2 linked regions of the Coturnix japonica genome follow. The protein of the gene in region 1 interacts with the protein of each later gene in a biochemical or structural test. Links are inferred from orthologs where the notes say so. Each region holds a gene or a part of one and is shown in the gene's direction. Other genes may lie near its edges.

What was found. The genes of interacting proteins can lie anywhere in the genome.
Region 2: the proteins of NFE2L1 (region 1) and MAFG form a complex in vitro, tested with the Homo sapiens proteins (2 studies listed by BioGRID and IntAct, with this or other methods). The link is inferred for Coturnix japonica from reciprocal best matches to the Homo sapiens genes NFE2L1 and MAFG.

The regions. Positions count from the first base shown.
Region 1 is NC_029542.1:3,428,975-3,434,751, reverse strand, and holds the start of NFE2L1 (endoplasmic reticulum membrane sensor NFE2L1), read left to right. Parts: upstream 1-2,542; 5' UTR 2,543-2,963; intron 2,964-4,601; 5' UTR 4,602-4,603; coding exon 4,604-5,113; intron 5,114-5,777.
Region 2 is NC_029533.1:4,418,532-4,424,220, forward strand, and holds the start of MAFG (transcription factor MafG), read left to right. Parts: upstream 1-2,463; 5' UTR 2,464-2,622; intron 2,623-2,831; exon of another isoform or gene 2,832-2,850; intron 2,851-4,224; exon of another isoform or gene 4,225-4,657; intron 4,658-4,682; exon of another isoform or gene 4,683-4,828; intron 4,829-4,853; exon of another isoform or gene 4,854-5,689. Other genes in the region: PYCR1 (pyrroline-5-carboxylate reductase 1, mitochondrial), read left to right, coding at 295-387, 531-694, 780-939. UniProt on the Homo sapiens protein: Since they lack a putative transactivation domain, the small Mafs behave as transcriptional repressors when they dimerize among themselves.

The DNA.
Region 1 (5,777 bases):
TCAACCCCCCTCCGGCAGATGGGGATGGGGGGGGGAAGGCAGAGCCCCCATTGGGCTGCATAGGGCAGGGGGTGGCCGACCCCCCCCCTAACACCTTGGGGGCGGCCCTCCACACCCCATAACCACTCCCCCCCCCCATCTCATAGCAGTCTATTGGTCCCCGAGCCCTTTTAGGGTGGGGATCAATGGGGAGGGGGGGAGGTGACATGTAGAGCTCAAGGCTCCAGCTGTGGGGGGGGCTTTAATTCCCAATTCACCATCTGCTGAGCCCCCCCCCCAATTTGTGGCTCAGCTGTTGAAGGAGAGAATTAAAGCTCCCTTAGAACAATGTCCCCATCAGGGACGGATGTGACGCCACCATCGCTTTGTCCCCATGTCCCCCCACCCTAAAAGGGGGGAGGTGTTGTTCGGAGGCCCCCCACCCCAAAAGGAGGGGGGGGTTGTTCATAGACCCCCTGCAATACGCCGTGCTGCCGGCAGGGGGCGCTGCAGGACCGCGGATGGAGCCGGGGCTAAATGAGAAGGGGGCGTGGCCATTTACCATATAAGGAATGTATATAATGAGGGGGAGGAGATATGCAAAAATATGCAAAATTATGCAAAACAGCCCAATTCCTGGAGCGGCTATAGGGAGTCAGCGGTGAACCCCTATAGCCCCTATAGCTGTGGGCACCCATGGTTGGGGGGGTCTAGGGTTCACAGAGCTCTAAGAGCCCACCCCAATGGGCTCAGCCTCTTTTGGGGCCCTTTAGGGGTCCTATGATGTCCCAGCTGCCTTGTGATATGCTGATATGGGGGTCACGACCCTCTTATGCCTATATAGGGTGATACAATGCTCTATATAGGGTGATACAATGCTCATGGGATGGTGACCTGTGAGCCCCAGCTGGAGGCACCTGGAGATGAACCTGAGCTGGTGCAGAGGCTTTAATTGGCACCGAGGCTTTAATTGATATAGGAGCTTTAATTAGGACGGAGCAGAGGGGGTTTGGGGGAGGCCCAGGGGCTCACAGTGAAGGACTGATGGATCCATTCGCCTCCATTAGTGCTTAAGGGCTCCCTGGATGTTATTAATGTTGGGTTGGAGCTGGTGAGGGGCTGCTGGGGGGGTGTGGGGGGGTATATCCCCATTGGGAGCCTTTGGCAGCTATAGGGTTTGCTGTAGGGCTGTGCCCTCCCTACCTGCCCCTATTACCTCATCACTTGTAGGTTGCAGCACAACGTGGGCTGGGGCCGCACCCCAATATCTGGAGGTGTTTGTTTGCAGGTTGTTTTGCAGATCAGTTTGGAGTTTGTGCCATTGAAGCTGCTGGGATCCAGCATTACCTGGGCTCCATCCTGTGCTTTATGCTCCCAGGTAGGGGGTGATCAGTAAATGGGGCTGGTCTTGGTGTGGGAGGGCTGGGCTGGTTGTCTATTGACCCCCAGCTCTGCTGGAGGGAACAGTGAGCTGTGAACAAGGGCCTTAGAAGGGCTTTAATACCAGCTCCATATTGACTTATTGATGGATATAGGCTGGATATAGACCCTCCCTATGGCAGTAAGGCTTTAATATCAGCTCCTTATTGACTTATTGATAGATATAGACTGTGGGACTTATTGATATAGACTGGATATAGACTGTGGGACCTTCCCTATGGCAGCAGGGCTTTAATACCAGCTCCCTGTTAACTATATAGGCTATATTACCTATATAGACTGGATACAGGCTATGGACCCTCCCTATGGCAGCAGGGTTTAATATCATCTCCCTATTGACTTATTGATGGATATAGGCTGGATATAGACCCTCCCTATGGCAGCAGGGCTTTAATACCAGCCTCCTATTGACTTAATGATATAGGCTGGATATAGACTGGGATTGATATAGACTGGATATAGACTGGGGACCCTCCCTATGGCAGCAGGGCTTTAATACCAGCTCCATATTGACTTATTGATGGATATAGACTGGGATTGATATAGCCTGGATATAGATATAGACTGAGGACCCTCCCTATGGCAGTAGGGCTTTGATACCAGCTCCCTATTGACTATATAGACTATATTACCTATATAGACTGGATATAGACTATGGACCCTCCCTATGGCAGCAGGGCTTTAACACCAGCTCCCTATTGATGGCTATAGACTGGCGAGGCGCTAGGCCCGGCTCCGGCCTTCCGCCGGGATTGGTGCGCGCTGTCAGTCAACATTCCGGACGGTTTTTATTGGTAGTTGGAGCTGTCGTTCGGCTAGAGTCTCGCTCTCTATTGGATGATTAGCCTGTCTTTCATCGACTCGGTGGGTGGGGGCGTTGTGCTGTTTCTCCTCACCTATTGGCTCTCCATGCTCATCTCTGCCTCCGATTGGCTCCCTCGCCTGCCCATCCACCCGGCGACATAGGCGGGATCACCTCCACCCCTCCCCCTCCCATTGGCTCACTGCTTCATCCCTCCTCCTAAAGTCGGCTGGCGATTGGCTGAGCCTCGGGGGGGGGGCGGGATTAGTTGTGAGGGAAAGGAGGCGGCGGCGGCGGAGAGCGGGTAGAGGCGGGCGGGGCGGACAGGGCCGCGTCACTGGGCCTTAAGGATCCATAGGGCCTTAAAGGGCCATAAGGGGCCATAAAGGGCCTTAAAGGGCCTTAAAGGCCTTAAAGGGCCCCGGGGTGGGGTGGAGGGAGAGGCCTTAAGGCCCGGTGTGGCCTAAACCGGGGGGAGCCCCCACGGTGAGGCCTGAGGGCGGCGGGGAGTTGACGCAACGGCCTAAGAATAACGAGGGGTGGGACCGGGCCGGGCCCACAACGGGCGGGGCCTGAACATGGGGCCTTAAGGGAACAACACGGGGTGGTTTGAGCTGCGGTAAAAGGAACCGAGTCACAGCGGGACAAATTGGGATCGGAACCGGTTCGGTTGGACGAGGAACCGGGATCGGAACCGGGAGAGACCGAGAGGGACCGGAGCTGCATGTGGGAACAGCGGGCAGTAAGTGGGGGGGGCTTGTGTGTGTCTATGGGGGTATTGGATTGGGGTCATCCCATGTGTCTATGGGATATTGGATTGGGGTCAGAGCTGGGATCGTCCCATGTGTTATATGGGAATATTGTATTGGGGTCGGAGCTGGGATCGTCCCATGTGTCTATGGGGATATTGGGATCAGAGCTGGAATCATCCCATGTGTTATATGGGATTATTGTATTGGGATCTGGAGGGTTTGGAGCTGGAAAGGGAAGCTGAGATCATCCCGTGTGTCTATGGGGACATTGTATTGGGATCAGAGCTGGGATCGTCCCATGTGTTATATGGGATTATTGTATTGGGGTTGGAGCTGGGATCATCCCATGTGTCTATAGGGATATTGTATTGGGATCTGGAGGGTTCGGAGCTGGAAAGGGAAGCTGGGATTGTCCAATGTGTCTATGGGATTATTGTATTGGGATCATCCCATGTGTCTATGGGGATATTGGGATCAAAGCTGGGATCGTCCCATGTGTTATATGGGAATATTGTATTGGGATTGAAGCTGGGATCGTCCCATGTGTCTATAGGGGATTATTGTACTGGGGTCGGAGCTGGGATCATCCTGTGTGTCTATAGGGATATTGTATTGGGATCATCCCATGTGTTATATGGGATATTGTATTGGGATCATCCCATGTGTCTATAGGGATATTGTATTGGGATCTGGAGGGTTCAGAGCTGGAAAGGGAAGCTGGGATCGTCCCATGTATCTATGGGATTATTGTATTGGGATCAAAGCTGGGATTGTCCCATGTGTTATATGGGATATTGTATTGGGATCATCCCATGTGTTATATGGGATAATGTATTGGGATCTGGAGGGTTCGGAGCTGGAAAGGGAAGCTGGGATTGTCCCATGTATCTATGGGGATATTGGGATCAGAGCTGGAATCATCCCATGTGTTATATGGGATTATTGTATTGGGGTTGGAGCTGGGATCGTCCCATGTGTCTATGGGATTATTGTATTGGGATCAGAGCTGGGATCATCCTGTGTGTCTATGGGAATATTGTATTGGGGTCAGAGCTGGGATCATCCCATGTGTCTATAGGGATATTGGATTGGGATCTGGAGGGTTCAGAGCTGGAAAGGGAAGCTGGGATCATCCCATGTGTTATATGGGAATATTGTATTGGGATCAGAGCTGGAATCATCCTGTGTGTCTATGGGGATATTGTATTGGGATCATCCCATGTATCTATGGGATTATTGTATTGGGATCGGAGCTGGGATCGTCCTATGTGTCTATGGGATTATTGTATTGGGATCATCCCATGTGTCTATAGGGATATTGTATTGGGATCTGGAGGGTTCGGAGCTGGAAAGGGAAGCTGGGATCGTCCCATGTATCTATGGGATTATTGTATTGGGATCAGAGCTGGGATCGTCCCATAGTTTAAAGTGTTTTATTGCTGTGGACTCTTGAAACTGTTGCTGTTTTGCTTGTGTTAAAGTCGGGCAGGGGGGAGGAAGCAGCCAGGCGAGGTATTGGGAGCAGAATCCACCTGCTGCCTTTATATTCTCCTTTATTCCTCCTTTATTCCTTTATTCCTCCTTTATTCCTCACCTCCCACTTGTTTCCTCTCTCTTTCCCCCTCCAGAAATGCTTTCTCTGAAGAAATACTTCACCGAAGGCCTCATCCAACTCACCATCCTGCTCAGCCTCGTCGGTGTCCGTGTGGACGTGGACACTTACCTCAACTCCCAGCTCCCCCAGCTCCGTGAAATCATCCTCGGTCAAAGCTCTGCCTACACACAAACCCAATTTCACAACCTAAGAAACACTTTAGACGGGTACGGCATCCACCCAAAGAGCGTCGATTTGGACTATTACTTCACAACTCGAAGGCTGCTCAACCAGGTCAGGGCTCTGGACAGGTTTCAAGTACCTACAACTGAAGTCAACGCTTGGTTGGTTCATCGGGATCCTGAAGGTTCAGTATCAGGCTCCCAACCCAACGCTGGGATCACGCTCGATAACGGTGCTGGGCTGCAGGATGGAGCCGGGTCTGATGGTGCCGTGAGGGACAACGGGGCTGAGCAGGGATATGGGGAGGAGCTGGAGGATCTGGGAGCTGTGGCTGCCCCGGTGAATGGGGACCTGACTAAAGAGGTAAGTGGCTCCTTGTGTCTTGTGTTGGATTCTATGCTATCTATCAAATGGAGTGGTGTTTAATGTGAGCTGTGTGATATGGGCATGGCATGGGGTCGAAGCTTCTGAGCTCTTCATGGTGCTGCTCTGCTTTTATTGCTGCTCTGCTATGGACCCCATAGATCCAATACCCCATAGATCCAATACCCCATAGATCCAATACCTCATAGATCCAATACCCCATAGATCCAATATCCCATAGATCCAATACCCCCATAGATCCAATACCCCATAGATCCAATACCCCATAGATCCAATACCCCATAGATCCAATACCCCATAGACCCAATACCCCCATAGACCCAATACCCCCATAGACCCCAATACCCCCATAGACCCAATACCCCCATAGACCCAATACCCCCATAGACCCAATACCCCCATAGATCCAATACCCCCATAGATCCAATACCCCATTTATTTGCTGTTTTCAGCCTAGAAAGTGATACTGAAAGCTGGGCCATGGGCTGGGGGTGGGCGTTACACACTGTGCCCATAACTTTGTGTTGTGAAATAGATCAAATAACGCTGGGATATAAACACATGCGTTGGGTAACAGCTTCATCCCATGTAGCAGGAGGGAGGTTGGGTTACTGGGCTTTGGAGCTGATCCAGCTTGAGACGT
Region 2 (5,689 bases), on another chromosome or scaffold:
TGGGTCTGAAGTCCATAACCAATGTGCAGTGTCCACATCTGTGTTGCAAAATCTGGGCCTGTTGTTAGGATGACCTAGAAGCTGAATTTCTTCCATTCTCCCTACATCTCAGCTGGAGCTGGTGGGAGAGAAGCATGGCATGGCAGCAGTGCAGTAAAGGGGCTGACTTTTGTCAAGTCTTTGTAAGTGACAGGAGTCACAGTGTGATCCTAGAGCTGTGGATTCTGCCTTCTGTAAGAACACCGGTCTCAGAATAGAGACTTTCAGTCCCTTTTTTCCTCTGTCTGATCTCAGGCTTTCACTGCCCTGGATGCTCTGGCTGATGGAGGTGTGAAAATGGGGCTTCCCCGTAGGCTGGCTGTTCGGCTCGGAGCCCAGGCTTTGCTGGTTAGTATTGCTTCCTCCAAAATGCTCTTGAGACTCCTTCTAGTTTTATAGTCTTATAGTTTAAAATGATTTCAGTTCCCTTACTGAATATATTTCAACAAACATACAGAGTTCTGATTGTTGTTTTCTATTCCTCGCCACAGGGCGCTGCCAAAATGCTGTTGGAATCAGAGCAGCACCCAGGTCAGCTGAAGGACAACGTCTGCTCCCCTGGGGGAGCCACCATTCATGCCCTGCACTTCCTGGAGAGCGGAGGCTTTCGCTCCCTGCTCATCAATGCTGTGGAGGCTTCCTGTATCCGAACAAGGTGGGCACTGAGAAATCCTTAAGAGCCATCAACACTCCTCTCTTTCTATTCCTTACCATCTCTCTCTTCTACCACCCCATGGCAGGCAGCTGCAGCATTTGGCAGACAAGGAGAAGATCTCCCCAGCAGCCATAAAGAAGACTTTGTTGGATAAGGTGAAGCTGGAGTCTCCTTCTCTTTCTGTGGCATCTACCAACAAAGTCAGTCTGTTCAACAGTAAGAACCCCAGCAGCAAGAAGAACTGAGCAGGCTGCCGTCCTGCTGTACTCTGGCTGCACTGACCATCACTTCCCTTTATGCCCTTTCTTTTTTGACTAAGGAAAACATTCACGCTGAATGTTGGTGTTTTCCATACCCGACTCTCAGCTTACAGCAGCCGTGGGGCAGCGCAGAGCTGCTCACTGTGGGCATGGGGAGCACCATACTCAGAGCTTTGTCAAGGGCACTATTTGCCAGAAGCCTTTGATGCTTCAGAACTGAGGTAGCATTTATTGTGTCCCGTGTAGAAACAGTTGGTAGCAGAATCTTTAAGAACTTTCCAACTGCTTTTCAGTCTCAAAGGTTTGAGTCAGGTCTGGATCCCTCTTTCCCCATCTTCCATCTGCTTTCAGAGCTCATCTCTTGTTTTTTCTTAGCTAGAGCAGCTGCTGTCACACCAATGCAGTGCTGTGCGCTGAGGCTGGGTTCTAATATGCTTCTCACCAGGGACCAAAGTGCCTCTGCCTCATTTCCCATCCGCTTTGACTTTAAATAGAGGGTCAATGTGAACCCCTCAGCCACACTGATTCATTCAGGGTGCATTCTTGGCAGTCATCCCCACAACAGCAGCTTTCTATGGCTTCTTTATAGCCACCATCCCCATAGAGTTCCCTCTTCTTCCAGAGCCCTGTCCTGGACCAGGAAGCAGCACCCAATGTTCACACTGCCCCGGTAGCTGCTGCTGGGCTGCAGTGGGAGCTGTGGGCTGGGGAGGATGGAAGGGATTTGGGTGGATCTCAGTGTCGTCCTGTTCTACCTTGATGTACACTGAGGTTCCTCCTTAGGAACCCAGAGCGTCTATGTGTGTGGTGCAAGAAAAGCATTTGGGGATCAATGCAGAGAACTCCACAGGTGCTGGCAGTGTCAGTGCGGTGCTGTGTCAGTTGGTACTGGGACAAGGCCGTGTAGGTGTGACGTGGCTGCTGCTCTTTCTGCTCCTTGAATAAACCATTCCTCTATCGGACCCGTGGCGGCTCCTGGTTGTGTTGGGTGGACGCAGCTCCGTGTCCCCGCCGTCCCACAGCCCGGCACTGAGCGCTCACCCGGCCCAGCTCCATTGTCCCCTCAGTCCTGCAGTGGTTGGAGCTGCGGACGCCCCAGAGCCGTGTCTGTACAAATGAGAACTGACGGGGCCGAAGTGGGGCGGTAACAAAGGCCCGACGGCAGCGGAGCTCCCATTGCTGCCCATTACTATCCATTGCTATCCAATGCTGCCCATTACTATCCATTGCTGCCCATTACTATCCATTGCTGCCCATTGCTATCTATTACTGCCCATTGCTATCCATTGCTGCCCATTGCTATCTATTACTGCCCATTGCTATCCATTGCTGCCCATTGCTATCCATCGCGCTTTGCTCGGTGCTGCCGCCCTGCTGGGCTCACACCGCGGCCGTTCCCATCCCCGCGGTCCCTTTAAGTCCCGGTCCCGTTCCATTCCTGGTCCCGCCCCGTTTCCCGCCCTCCCGGCGCGTCCCCTTTAAGGCGCGGGGCGGTTGCGCCGGGCGCTTCATGAATGGAGCCACGTGACCCAAACATCACGTGACGCGTCCGTGAGCGGCGGCGGCTCGCGGTCCCGGTCCCGGTTCGTGCAGCGCGGCCTGCCCGCCCCGCCCCGCCCCGCCCGGTCCAACGGCTCCGTCAGGACGTGACCGCAGCGAGCGCGGCCGGTGAGGGGCGGGCGGCGGCGGCGGCACCGAAGGGAGGAGGCGCGGCGCGGGCGGCGGGCGCGGCCCTGGCACCGGGCGGGGCGAGGCGGGGCGGCGAGGCGCGGCGGCCGGTCCCCGGGGGCGGGGCGGGAGCGGCCGGCGCTGACTCACGGCGGGGGCTCCGTGGCCGCCGGTCACCGCCCGGTTGGCGGCGCGCACGGCCCGGTCCCCGCCGCGGCCGAGCAACAGGTGCGCGGGGCCCCGCCGCTCCGCCCGCCCCGCCCCGCACCGGGTCCGCCCGGCGCTCAGCCCCCGCTCGGTCACACGGTGTCCCGGTGCCCGGTGGAGCTGGCCAGGCCGGAGGCGCAGCGCGGCGCTTCCCGACGGTTCACCCGCCGCGGGGCTCGGGCCGCTCCGCTCCTCCCGGCATCGCCGTGGGGTCACCGGGATCCCGCGGGACGGGCGGCGGCGGAGCCGCTTTAACGGGGGAAAGTGCGGGGTGTGTGAGCGGCGGGACGGGCCGCGTGGGGTCAGGGGAACAAAATAACAACACGGATAAACGGGAACGGGATCCCGCACCGGGGGGGGAGGGGAAGGAGAGCTCCGCGCCACGGCGACGTCACCGTGTTTACAGTGCGCGCGTGGCGAGGCGCCGCGATGGGGAACGGGAGGGAACCGGGAGAGAACGGGGAGAGAACGGGGAAACGGCTCCGCGCCGGGGGGGAATTGGCTGCGGCCGTGCTGAGCTCAGGGCTTTTGAGCGCCGGGCAATGTGTTGAGGCGGCATTTTGTTGCTGCAGTCAAAGCGTTGGGCACTTTGCAGTGCGATCTGCGGGAGCCTCTAAAAAGCCGAGCAATGAACGGGCTGCACAGCCGGGATGAGGCTGGTTCGGTGTGTGCCCCCGGCTCAGCTGCTGCCCCCCTCACACATAACAGCCCCGTGCTGTCCGTGCTCTGCTGTGTCTCTGGAAGGGGATGGAGGGTCCAAACTGGTGCTGCGTTCAGGCACAGCCCCGTCCCAGAGCCGCCCCCAGCACACAACATGCACTGTCCAGTTCCTCGGATACAGACACTGCAGCCTCGTGTCCCACAGCAGCGATGCTGTGGCTCAGGATGGGGAGCACTCCCTGACCCCCATCACAGCTCTGTGTCCCTGCACTCATCCCAGCCGTGTCCCCCCATCAAGCTCCTCTCATTTCTGTTCTCTCTCAGCACAGCAGCCCTGGTTGACCCGTCCTTTAGTGCCTCTATCTGTGCGTTTATCAATTTCTCTCAGCAGAAATGACAGTATGAGGTGCAAGGTGAGCACAGGCTCTGAGCTCAGGGCTGTGTGAGTTTCCTGCCCTGCACCCTGAGCTGCTCTACCTGTGCCCAGCCCCATCCAGTGTTTGTTTTTCCCAGCTCTGCTACAATGAAGGAAGTTTGAGTGTTTCCCGGTAGCAGGGAACCATTCAGCCCTGCAGGCACACATTACTGCAGCCATACTGACCCCAGCGTGCGGTCAGAGGGTTCCTCAGGGCCGGTGTTATGCCTCCCCCCAGTTATTCTCTTCCATCTGCCCCTTTTTCCAGCAGCCATTTTGTTTGTTAGGGTGGGGGGGGGGGGGAGGAAACAGAGCAAAGAAAGAGAAATAACAGCACGGGAAAGCACAGAACTGGTTGCAGGAGGCTGCAGTCTGCATGTGCTCCCCTCAATGCAGCCGCCTCCCTCGGTGGCAAAGTGACCCTTACGGCCACGCTGTCGGGTTGTCACGGCCGTCATGCTGCAAGGAACATTGTCCTCTGGGTATAAATAGCTGCCTCCTGGCAGGCTCCGGCCTTGGGGGAACATCTGAATTGTGCTGGTGTGCTCCGTGTCCTGCAGGACGCTGATCCCGCTCACCTCTAGCAGTCAGCGCCGGGCGCATTGCGGGAGCCTGAGCTGCAGCTGCTGGAGGAGCAGAAAGCCGTATTTGCTGACTGTACAGCTGGGTCTTGGCTGCAGCTCTGCCTCTTACGTCTAGCAAACAAAAGAGCAGCGAACGGAATTGCTGTTGGCTGGCACGGAAGGTACAAAGGTACTCATGGACTGCACCTGCACACAGACAGTGCTGGCCTTGCTGCAGGAAGCAGTGCCGGGCTGTGTGGGACAGACGTGGCTGCTGAGGATTCAGTTTGTTGGGGTGCAGTGGAATTCTGACCCGAGGTGTGAGGGGAGGAGGTGCATAGGGACAGGAGCAGGAGCCCAGGTATGTCTCTGTATGAAGACAGCCCCAGGAGCTGCTGTTATAGACCTGGAATGCTGTCCTCCCTGGCAGTGAAGGAGTCTGCTCCCCTCTGGTTTTGGCCTCCCTCGATCTTTGTTTTCTTATCTCTCAGCTCTGAAGATAAAGAGGGGAGAAGCTGGTGCAGCCCTGGCTTTGCTGGGGCTGATAGGGACTGCTCAGTGGGAAGGGTGTACGGCTGTAGGTCGGCTTTGGGTGACAAGAGCAGGGAGGGCTGCTGAGGAATCCCCAGATCAACTATGGGCTTCCCGTGTGCCCCAGCATCAAGCCATGGGTTTGGGCTGCCCATCCTCCCCACGGGAAGGGTCAGGTGCAGAACTCAGACTGTAACCCAGCCGTGCTGGCTTTGCTGGGGAGCACCAGCATTTTGGATAGGAGCAGTGGTGTTCAGCACCAAGCAGCTGCACCGTGATGGTGAGGCCATCCCCTCCACTCACCAGCAGTGTTGTGCTCCTGGACTGTGCCAGGCTGTGTCCTCAGGAGCATCGTGGGTCTGGCAGGACTCGCTGTGGGCAGCTCTGTGCTGGGCAGCGGGTGCACAGCGTGGGGCTGTGCTGCTGTGCAATGCTCAGGGGCTGTGAGGATGCAGCTGGGAGCAGAGGCGCGGGCTGCTGCCGTGCTGAGTCAGCGTGACTGGCCCTGAGCAGGCGTGCTCCGGACCTGGCTGCTGCTGCCAGGCTATTTTTAATAATGTGGCTTCCGTGTATTCTGGCTCCTCCTAGTTTTTTAATTTTCTCCCCCCCACACCCCAAACAAAAAAGCAGCATTGCTACAAGGCTCCGTGGTCATAGGGCTGGGGGAGGGCAGCAGGTTGTGCTCAGGGAT